Kluyveromyces lactis: one gene and its partners. The protein of the gene in region 3 interacts with the protein of the main gene of each other region in a pairwise test. Links are inferred from orthologs where the notes say so. Each region holds a gene or a part of one and is shown on either strand. Other genes may lie near its edges.

Region 1 (3,486 bases), on a different chromosome or scaffold from region 3:
AGCATAAAGACAAAAGTTCTTCAGCATTTTCACCACATGTTTCCCTTATATCCGCAAATGTATCTTCAGGTTTTCTGTCCACCTGAGGTTTCTGCGGGATTACCCAATTATATGAAGCCTTTGATTTTGCCATATTCTGACCTAGTGCATACGAGATTAGAATGCCAAGCCATGAAAACATATGCACGCTAAGCCTAACTATTAAATTCGGCAAAAATAAGACGGCAAGTAATACAGAATTGCGCGAGTATACATCAGTAGCATTTGGCTGTCCGTTTAATCCGATGATTTGGAATTTTTCTTTATAATTGTATGGTAATCTGTGAATAAAGGGTAGTTTAGGTACCATTCCAAACGGGTTCTCCAAAATGTTTGGGATTCTCAGTGATATTGGTAATTCTGAACGCGTATCTTCCAGGATCTGGCGCTCATCAGATTGTGATTGTTGGACAGGAATTGTGTTTTGAGCGGGTGTAGGCTGTGGTGCAAAGTCTAGATTTTCTTTCCAATTGTCGTCGAAATATCTACCCAAAGCGTGTTCCAATTGCCAAGAATGATTGCGTAGAAGCTTTATAACATTAGGCAATTCATCAGTGGGGAAAGACGTTATCATTTGAAACTCGTTGAGCTTTTGCTCTTCTGAGTGGGAGAGTTCAAATCGTTGATCATTATGTTCAATTACTGGCATTTTAAGGTTCGTTACAAATCACAGTACGCTCAAGCAGATATACTTTAATTCGGATCTCAATGCCAAAAATACTGGGTTGTCAATTTTATACATTCACAGCTAATATATGCAGTATAGTTAATGTAGCTTATCAGTAAACTCGAATCTATATCCTCCTGCACTTTTCTGGTTAAGTTGGCCTGCCTGTTAAAGTTTCCCGTTTTTTCGTTAAATGTTCATGAGAACGAAACAGAAATTTAGTGCACCGTCAGAATATCGTAAGAAACACTAATAAACCAAACAAAGAAATTGCAATGAGTACTAGCTGTTGTCTATAAAAGTATATTTCGATGTAATATTTATGCTGTTTATATATTATATTAGCAATCGTTAAGGGTTGCCAGGCTTTCTAGCAACTACGTACCAATTATCCTTTTCGTAACCTTGTCCAACTATTATTCCTCCGGCCATTTGGCAATCCTCTTCTAGTTCCCCCTCGCGATATAGATGGTAGTAACGATACTTCGTGTTGGATTTTGTCTCCTTTTCGAGCTTCTTGCGCTCTTCCTCTATTTCCTGCTCTCTTTTTAGCCTGAGAGCTTCCTGTTCTAGTTTCCATTTGTTCAAGAATTCAGATCTTTCATGTTTAGGAACGGTGGATAAATCTGGCTTGGGGACTTGTATTTTGCCCTTTTTACCAGATTTCTCATCAATTTCCGTATCCCTCTTCTGATCTTGTAAAACCCACGGTACTAAAACGTCTTGTTCCATACCCTCTCGATACCCTCTTCTAGAATCACCTTGTTCCAATGCCCAGCAGTAAATCAAAACTTCTCCTCCGGGTCTTACTTTGCTGATGATATGTCTTATGGCTCCAACTCTTCTTTCTCTGGTCGACCAGTGGTGCACCACCGCAATGGATATAGCGAAATCGAAAGTATTATCGCGATGAGGTAGCTTGATCCCGTCTGCAATTAGAACATTGTACTGTGAATTGATATCATGTGCACACGTAATTAACCCCGAGGATCTATCTGAACCTAAAATAAAAACATTCGGGTTCACAGCAAGGTACTTCCCATTTCCACAGCCAACATCAATACCGATAGAACCCATCTCTCTAGACATCAAAAACTCCGATACAATTGGCCATGGCTTATATCTGGTTTGTGAGAAATGCGGAGCAATATCGTTGTACACTTGGTGCACGTATTCTTCTTCCTTCAATTCAGCCATTATATTTGAAAACCCCACAGACTACACTGCGTCTAGCTGTATCTAAGGAGCATATAGAAATACTCTGAAACTGTGATCTTAACTTCATTCTTTTTGCACGTATTGTACCTCATTGATACTGCCATTATCCATTTTTTTCACTTTTTCGTTATATCTGTTGTTCGAATCAGAAAACAGACACTAAGCCATGCAATTTGAAATTAATGTTCGACAAATAAGTCGACATTTCGAAACGATTCAAGAGAAGCTATGCTTCTTAATATCTAACGTCCATTAGTTTTCCTTCAAAGGCGTATATCGGAAAGTGACTAGTGGAATTGCGGCAATAGGTTTCGTCGATAACTTGATTTCATTAGAGCATTCGAAGGTTTCGGCTAAAATACTTCGCTAATTATTCCAAAGGTATTCGTGATCCCAACAGCAAGTCTAAAAGAATACAGTGTTTTTTGAACTTTCCTTACGATGAGTACAGTCACTCTACGTCGTCTTGTAACACTATCCTTTGCGCTTTGCTACGTGTTACTTGGAGTTCCTTTATGGTACAGATTGACTACCATATACAGGGCACCACTACCTGCAGAATACATTGAGAGTTTGCATGCAAACCTCCACGAAGATATCCATTTGACTATCCCTGTATACGTGCAATCGGATATATATAACTTTCCTGATGTATGTGATGCCATTCAAAGACAGGCGGATGAGCTATTACAGAGTGCTGATGAACACCAAAGAAAGGTACAGTGGTCGTTGCAAATACTACCGTTCAAAGAGGGCGAAACAGATCCAAATAACGATCATGTGGTCAAGTTGGTTTTGGATGAGTCCATGGGACTAACGATACCTCAATTGACCAAAGAAACTATTATATTTTTCAATGATGAATCCCTGGTGAACAACGATCTTCCATTTTTCGTCGCTCAGGCCCTAATAGAGCACACGTTTAAGATAGAATGGGAGCATTTCAGTAAATATCATCAGAACTCTGTTAAAAGTGACTCAAAATCCAGGAACATGGCTGTAAATTATGACCCAAACATCCATATCTCGATCTCCCTTTTAACTGGTGATGCGGAACCTATTGCCTGGGATATTGACGCTACTTTAAGGGAATATTTCACTCCAATTAGAGATCTCCTTTCTCCATTGGTGAACTTTACCGTTGACACAGGGATTGAGTATCATAACGACTTGAATTTACATTCTTTATCTAACGCTGAATACGTTTCCTGGAATGATCTTTCTCACACTTTGGATTTGTCTGACCTCTTCTCCGTGAACCATTATCGGGAACAAAATTCCATAAATCTAGCCATTGTCTTTCCTTCAGTTGAAACTGGGTCCTTAGCTTTTATCAACGAGACAGGAAATGGTATTGACTGGAAATCATTCTTAGTACCACAGTGGGGTGTTGTTGTGATAAACAAAGATCCATTACCAACAAATGCTTACATAACAAACGACTACCTTGCTGATGTCATTTCAACTTTTGCCCACGACATCTTCAAATTATTGGGATTGAGTGAGGTAGCTGAAGATATGAACTCACCATTAGTTAGGATAGACTCATTTAAGAGGAAAGT
Region 2 (4,027 bases), about 550 kb from region 3:
GATAAGTACAAAAGCTTTCAAAAAAAATATCGACAACTCTCCTGCAGGAAGTAATGGCTTCTCGAAATCTGAACTAAATAGGGTTAAGAGTATTGCCAAACGGAAGAGGTACTCTTTGAATGATTTCGAAAATTCCCCGATGGCTGATGATTCTGATTTTGAGATTAATACTACTTCGACCATTGGGATAGATATAAAGACAAATTTGGTGAATATAGACAATAGATTTTTCAGAGTTATTATGTGGGACACTGCTGGACAAGAGAGATATAGGAATGCTATGATTTCTTCATTATATAAAGGATCTAATGGAGTGATTTTAAGTTATGATATATGTGACTTCAATAGTTTCCTGAATTGCTTGAACTTCTGGTTGGTTGAATCCATTGAGAATATTCCTAATTTGAGCATGACACGGTTTTATCTAGTGGGGAACAAACTCGATTTATATAAGGAAAGGAAAGTTACGCATGAAGACGTACTTCAGTTCATTTCCAGGATTGAGAAAGATTATAATATAAAAATATCAGGTAACTTTGAAGTTAGTTGTAAATGGGAGAATGTGGTAGAAAGGACATTCAATATTATTATTAAAGATTTGGTAGAAAGCGGGTGTTATGAGGATGACAGAGAGCTTAGAGTAATTTCATCAGACCAATCAGAAGATAGTGAAAGTAGTTTGGAGGATATTCCAGGCACTCCCCGTGGCGTGCGACAGAGATTAATGAAGAATAAATCCAAAACTGTGGATTTGAATAAACCATTGAATAACCAAAACGACGATGGTTCAAACCCAGGCTCCACGAGTTCCTGCTGCACTTAGTAATGAATTTCAAGTTATAGCGTCATGATACCAAGTATTGGCAGTGGAAGATGATATGCAAGGAATATGTATAATATTGTATAATATTGTCAGTCATTGTAACTTTGTGTATAATAAATGTAATAATATCGATTTTATAAATATTAATTTGTATTTTAACTAATGATACATATTATAGTGTAATGCTAGAGTGAGCAGATGTCTATTATTAGCCTTATATCAGGTCCAATAATATCAATTGAACCCGCTGAAGTATCTATCTCTGAAATTACCAGTTCTACTCAAACCAGAATTGTTGGGTCCATTAAATTCGTGTCCTCTATTGATATACACCAATAATCTTCTAGACCATTTATTGAAATCTTGAACACAGTTATACTTCAGTTCCAAATTCGAATGAAGAGGAATTATAGTTGCAACATTCTCGTCATTGGCAGTGGGCATCCAGAAAGCCAATCTACCATTAATGGGGAGTCTTTGACTTGCGTAATCCAACAAATCGTCTAATAGGGAATCTAAAGAGTACGGTTTTTTAGTTGGAATATAGTCTCTAAGTAGATAAGCTTTTTGACCGTTAATTTCCACATCCTCTTTCCCAGCAAATCTCTCCGGATCCTTTGCTCCAAGAACTTTAATCGATTCTCTAATACCGTATGGAGGATCACAAAGGATCGTATCAATGACAAAGTCCTTTCTCAATGCATTATGCGTAAAATCCATTGTCATGACGTCCAGGAATTGGATAGACTCTTTATAATACTTGAAATTTGCCTTGATAGTTTGTTGTCCCTTCCCTCTGATCATCCTACCATCAATATCAGACCCTAAGACAAGAGCACCATAATGGCCACCAGCCACCAGGAATGAACCAGTACCAACGAATGGATCATACATTATATGTGCTGGTTTTACCTGTGCAATATTTGCACTTACCAGTGATAATTCAGCTTCAAATGATGTGGTTCCTTTGTAAGGTCTCTTTTTCAAGTCATACTTCTCTAGTGCACCCCGTGCACGATCGCTTAGTTGAATTAACCTTCCGAAATAGATCTTTTCTGGAACCTCACCCCCGATATTTTCGCTGATAGCTTTGTATTCTTCAATAACCGTAAAAACTTCATCCGGATTTTTCATTTTGATGGGTCCCTTCAACTCAAGGTACTGGAAAGATTCAATGGTTGTCACTCTCGTAGAAATATCCTGTTTCGCGTTACCACCAAACTTTTCAAATTCAAACTTGAAACTCTTTCTTTCATTTGCGCTCTTATACTGTTCAAACTCGGGATGAGCTTGGACACTCTTGTGCAACGACTCATAAGTATTACCTTCACCCCAGTACTCATAAATGGCTCTTGTAAGCACCGATCTCCTAATCCAATCACTGGCTTGCTTATCATTTTCCAAGGTAACTATCATGAATGGTGAATCGACAGAATAACTCGAAAAGTCGACATCAACTCCATGCAGATCCGCTAGTGATTCCAATTCTGCTAGACGGAAATTTAAGTGCACCTGCACCATAAACAAAAGATACCGCTTCCTAGCCATAGATGATGGTTATAACTGGCGTTTGTATTAATTCTAAATCCGGAAGTACGAAAAGTGATTAACTGAGAAGTCGCACTTTCGATTAAAGAGGATCTCATCTCATCGCAGCTCATCTCGATATTTCGCTTTCTCTGCATGTTTAGCTGAAGTCGGCGTTGAATGAGTAAAGAAAGGTATATAGGATTTCATTACCCGGTGTTTCTGATTGTTTGGGCGCAGTTTTGGGACGAGTTGTCAAAAAGTTTCTTTTTTTGCAAGGCGAAATCGACAAAATGACAACCAAAAAGGCCCTAAAGCATGAATTTTTCACTAAGAACAGCGAATAATTTTTGGGGCCAAGTTGTTGCCATTGGAAAAAAAAAAAAATTAATTTGAATATAAAAGCAGTACAGGAGAAAAATTGAAGGGGCAGAATGTTTCTTCCTGTTTGTTTACCACTTTCCAGGTGATTAGACAGTCTAAAGAGATAATCAAGTCACTAAAACGAGTTAGGGAAGGATATAGGATTCAAAAGTATAGAAGTACCCGTATATCATTAGCGAATCGAAATAATCAACGGAACAAAGAATATTTACACTGTATTTTTTCTTTTTCTTTTCATTTATAAGATACCGATTGTTTTCAATAGAGTTTTAGAAATTGCAAACTAGGAGAGAGGAACCATTGTTACCGGAAATAGCTCATATTTGTTTTATTTTCGTACTGTATTAGATCTCAGTTATTACTTTATTATCGTCTACTACTACTTTTAACGTATAACATTAAACTTTGCTGTGTGTTGCTGTGTTTAAGCTATAAAATCCCCATACAGACAAAAAGAACAAGGATCATTTAAGTAGAGCGGAAGAGGAACGGCGCAGGAAACTTACACAGCGTTATCGTACTTATATTTACAAACGTTTACTGCAGATTTATCATATTTAGTGTACAGAACTAAGAAAATCCAAGTGGTAAAGTGAACGGTGCAACAAGTAGACGAATAAGAAGAAATTGAAATATTGCATTCAAGATGAGTTTATCAGACGATGAAGATTTTAACGACATCTACGGTGATGAAAATACCGCTCAAACCACGGTGAACAATAACGAGTCGACTTCATCAACTGCAACATCTACAGATAATCAAAATAATACTCAAAGTAATAATAATCAAAATAACGTTAGTAATAGCTCGACAGATGATCACAAAGATCAAGCTTCAACTACCAATAAAGAGGCTAATAGTAGTAGCACAAACACCACCGCGGCAACATCTCAATTAGATCAACTAGCAGCTTTACAGGCTTTGTCATCTAACCTGTCACAACTGCAACAGCAGGTTGCCTCTTCAAATAATCAACCAGATTCTAATCTTGCATCCAATAATGACAAGGCTGAAAACAATAACAAGGAAAACTACAGTGCTTCCGTTCCTGAAATGCTGCAGATGCCTCAAATGCCACAGATGCCAGGTATGCCAGATATGTCACAGTTGCAACAATTGCAACAGACTATGTCTCAATTGCAACAAACTGCATCTCAGCATGAACCAAAGGCTATCAAAGCTGATTTGTCTCGTGACATTAACAAGATGTTCATTGGTGGTCTAAATTGGGAAACCACCGAAGAGGGTTTACGTGATTACTTCAGCAAATACGGTGCAGTCGCTGAAGTTAA
Region 3 (3,248 bases):
CAGGTGACGTTAGATCACCTTGATGGAAGGTAATTGTCGAAGGATCAAAAGTGAATTGTTTTGAGATCCGATCTGGAAGTGGTCTTACGTCAAAAACATGGATCTGAGGTTGTGGTTTAAGTTCAGAAAATTGCTGAATCAAATGGAGACCTAGAAATCCAGATCCACCAATTAGTAGTACAGATTTAACATCGCTTGAACTCATAGTAGTTGTTTGTTTTACGTAGACTCAACGTATGATAAGAATTCGATTTGCCTGGTGTGATCTTGAATATCGTGTTAACGTTAACTAATATTCTCTAATTGTTTTTTTTTCTGAATATTAAAACAGAACTAAACGACAAATTTAAAGTGTCTCCCAAATTGTGAAATGGTCGGATAGAAAGATAACGTACTAATTAATAGCCATTGGTTTCTCCTTTCCTATACTTAATGATCACAATAATTTAGGTTTCTTGATCTGTTAGTGGTTAGAGTGTTGTTAAGCCAGAGTTGTATTTTTGCTTTAACATACAATTAATTAGTTCATTTGTACATACAAATTGTCCATATGCAATAGAATCCTTAGATAATGGCAAATAATAAATAGAATAAATAAAAAAAATATTTTCAGAAAATAATAAAAAATAAGTTAAAATAAATTCTTCAAAAAAATACAAAAAACATAATTAAATTCTATAAAATAAAGCAAAATTCACTAAAATCAATCAAAAGTAACACAAATGTTAGCATTCAATAACAGTTCTACCTTCAAATAAATAGTAAAAACGCATAAACAGGAACGAAGATTATAGTACCTGCTCAACTTCTTGACAGTGGAGTCTGTCGTACGTAATGTATTCAAAAATTAAGTAAAATCATAAAACATCATGTGACTAAAATCAAATTTTACATTTTCTCTCTTTTTATATAAAATAAATTTCTAAACTTTTACTTTATTGCAATTAAAAATATTTTTTTATTAATTTTATATTGAAAAAATTTTAATTAAAATAATGTGGAATTTTGAATTTTTTAAAATAAAATATATGTTTTGAAAAATTTTAGTTTCCGAAAATTAATTTATTTATGGTATTTTGCTTAAGCATAAGAAGTGAAATTGGCTTAAAGCTCTAAAAAGGATAGGAGCCATCTTTTTATGTTTGCTGAGATCCGAAAAAACACTAGAGCAATGCCTCTCTTTTTTTTACGGATACATGGCTTTTCCTTTCTGTTATTTTAAGAGTAGCTTTGATTCATATGCTCAATGTGACAGGATAATATCTACAAGAATAATCTCAACAAAGAAAATAAAAAAAATTTAAAAAAATGTCTGTGAAACGATTAGCATGCTTGTCTGCCTCAAGATTGATTTAATTTTTGGAGTGTTAACGTTAGGTAGGAATGAATCAGATATTGAAGATTATAATACTTACATATTGTTCTTCATATGCATACCCTGCTTCTTTCTGGCATGGGAATCTTTTCTTTTCATTTCTGTAACATGAAAAATTAAAAACCGTAAAAATCGAATTATCAATGAATTCGAACAGAGTTGTTAATGCGATGAGATGAAGTGAGTCCCAATAAAATCAGCATCATTTTGTTATTGTGAATCGAATTATACCCGACCCATTAAACTAACTGCAGATATGAAATTCCTAACTACAAACTTCCTTAAATGTTCCGTGAAAGGATGCGATAACAGTAACCTGAATTTCCCACTTCGCTACGTTCGTGAAAATTGTCAACTAGAACAGGATGAGAGCATCGAATTCAACCCGGAGTTCCTTTTAAGAATAATTGACCGTGTTGATTGGCAAGCTGTAGTTTCAGTAGCATCAGATTTAGGAAATACTGAGCTACCACCCAACAAACCAGAATTTGAAGAGAATTTAACGGATGAGGACATGGTCATTCTAAGAGATCTGCACACACTGTTAATTCAAACTAACATTGTAGAGGGACAAATGCAATGCAAAAACTGTGAACACATATACTACATAAAAAACAGCATTCCAAACCTCCTTCTACCACCACATCTAGCATGAATATTCAAATCCAGCATCTATATATGTACATACAGTGAACTTTCTAGCTTAATAAAGAATAATTTCAGGTCACGTGTTATATCAGCTGACGACGAGGCTTTGACAATCAAAAGGCCCACATTGTTGAAGAGCCACCATGATGAAAATCCAGAAATGGAGAGAAAACAAGGTTTGTATGTTCGAAAAAAAGAGGGTTTTAATCCAGCCAGGAATGATTCTTAATTAAGTAAAGAGTGTTAAAATAAAATCCAGGATGCACCGTACTTCGCATAATTTTCGTTATTTTATTGTATTAGAGCTGTAGGAAGTAAGTTTTATTGAGTACTTTGCTAACACGAATAAAAGGTTGTCTTAAAACGCCCCGTGAATACACGTTTTCTTCGGTTAAATATTTTGCCAGGCTTTTCAATCCGGTTTGTTTCTATCAGTTTTATATTAACACCTGTTACAGCACCGGTACTTACTTGTATTTTGCTGTTTCTTTTGAGCCTGATATAATAATCATTGAAAGCCATATACTCTGTGGGGTTTTGTTGACCAAAACTTATAGTGATATTAATTTGCGGGTTAGTCTTTTTTGTCAATAGAGGTATTTCTCACGAGTTGATTATTGATACTAAAGTGTTACTTTGAATTATTTACCATGGATGGTGTGATGCTTGATAAAGTTGAGCTCAACCAACATGAAGTAGGGGCTGCAAGAGAACGGTCTAGAAGTATGGCTTCTTTGTCTAAATTCATTCCGAAATCAATATGGAAACCTCAACAACAGCAACAGCAGCAACAGCCTTCTGAAACCTCCGAAGGTAACACAAAAGCATCTAACAGCCATCCGGTAATGTTACATGCTTCTTTGCATGAAGCACCTGCTATTGTACTTCAAGAGGCGAAACCCGTATCTCGCGAATCCATAGAACAAGAAGGCGCTCCCGCAGAAAAGGCTGCAAGTGGAAACTCGTCAAAGTTGTCAATGAGACTAAAGAAAGTCTTTGGCAAAAAGGAACCATCGCAACCCCCTGTTGATTCCGAGTTGAGCCCTCCAGCTAGTAGTGAAGCTGCTGCTAATCATGATGCAAATGATACCACGAATACACTGAACAGAAATAGAACAAATTCCGACACTGATCCTGAACCTAAGAGGAATTTATACAGCGACGGGTCTCAAATTCAAGGTACTCCTTTGACTTCACCTTCAAAATCTATCTCTTCATATAACAG

The links. The genes of interacting proteins can lie anywhere in the genome.
Region 1: the proteins of TRM112 (region 3) and TRM9 interact in binary tests that used the Saccharomyces cerevisiae proteins (3 or more experiments, as listed by UniProt). The link is inferred for Kluyveromyces lactis from reciprocal best matches to the Saccharomyces cerevisiae genes TRM112 and TRM9.
Region 2: the proteins of TRM112 (region 3) and TRM11 interact in binary tests that used the Saccharomyces cerevisiae proteins (3 or more experiments, as listed by UniProt). The link is inferred for Kluyveromyces lactis from reciprocal best matches to the Saccharomyces cerevisiae genes TRM112 and TRM11.

What each region holds. Positions count from the first base shown.
Region 1 is NC_006038.1:80,607-84,092, forward strand, and holds TRM9 (tRNA (carboxymethyluridine(34)-5-O)-methyltransferase), read right to left. Parts: upstream 1,904-3,486; coding exon 1,058-1,903; downstream 1-1,057. Other genes in the region: UBX2 (Ubx2p), read right to left, coding at 1-688; GPI-anchor transamidase GPI17, read left to right, coding at 2,366-3,486. UniProt on the Saccharomyces cerevisiae protein: Required for the methylation of the wobble bases at position 34 in tRNA. Appears to have a role in stress-response.
Region 2 is NC_006039.1:1,091,194-1,095,220, forward strand, and holds TRM11 (tRNA (guanine-N2-)-methyltransferase), read right to left. Parts: upstream 2,372-4,027; coding exon 1,058-2,371; downstream 1-1,057. Other genes in the region: Rab family GTPase YPT11, read left to right, coding at 1-823; HRP1 (Hrp1p), read left to right, coding at 3,381-4,027. UniProt on the Saccharomyces cerevisiae protein: Catalytic subunit of an S-adenosyl-L-methionine-dependent tRNA methyltransferase complex that mediates the methylation of the guanosine nucleotide at position 10 (m2G10) in tRNAs.
Region 3 is NC_006039.1:1,637,285-1,640,532, forward strand, and holds TRM112 (RNA methylation protein TRM112), read left to right. Parts: upstream 1-1,631; coding exon 1,632-2,030; downstream 2,031-3,248. Other genes in the region: ERG26 (sterol-4-alpha-carboxylate 3-dehydrogenase (decarboxylating)), read right to left, coding at 1-205; KLLA0_C18568g (serine/threonine-protein kinase), read left to right, coding at 2,674-3,248. UniProt on the Saccharomyces cerevisiae protein: Acts as an activator of both rRNA/tRNA and protein methyltransferases. Together with methyltransferase MTQ2, required for the methylation of eRF1 on 'Gln-182'.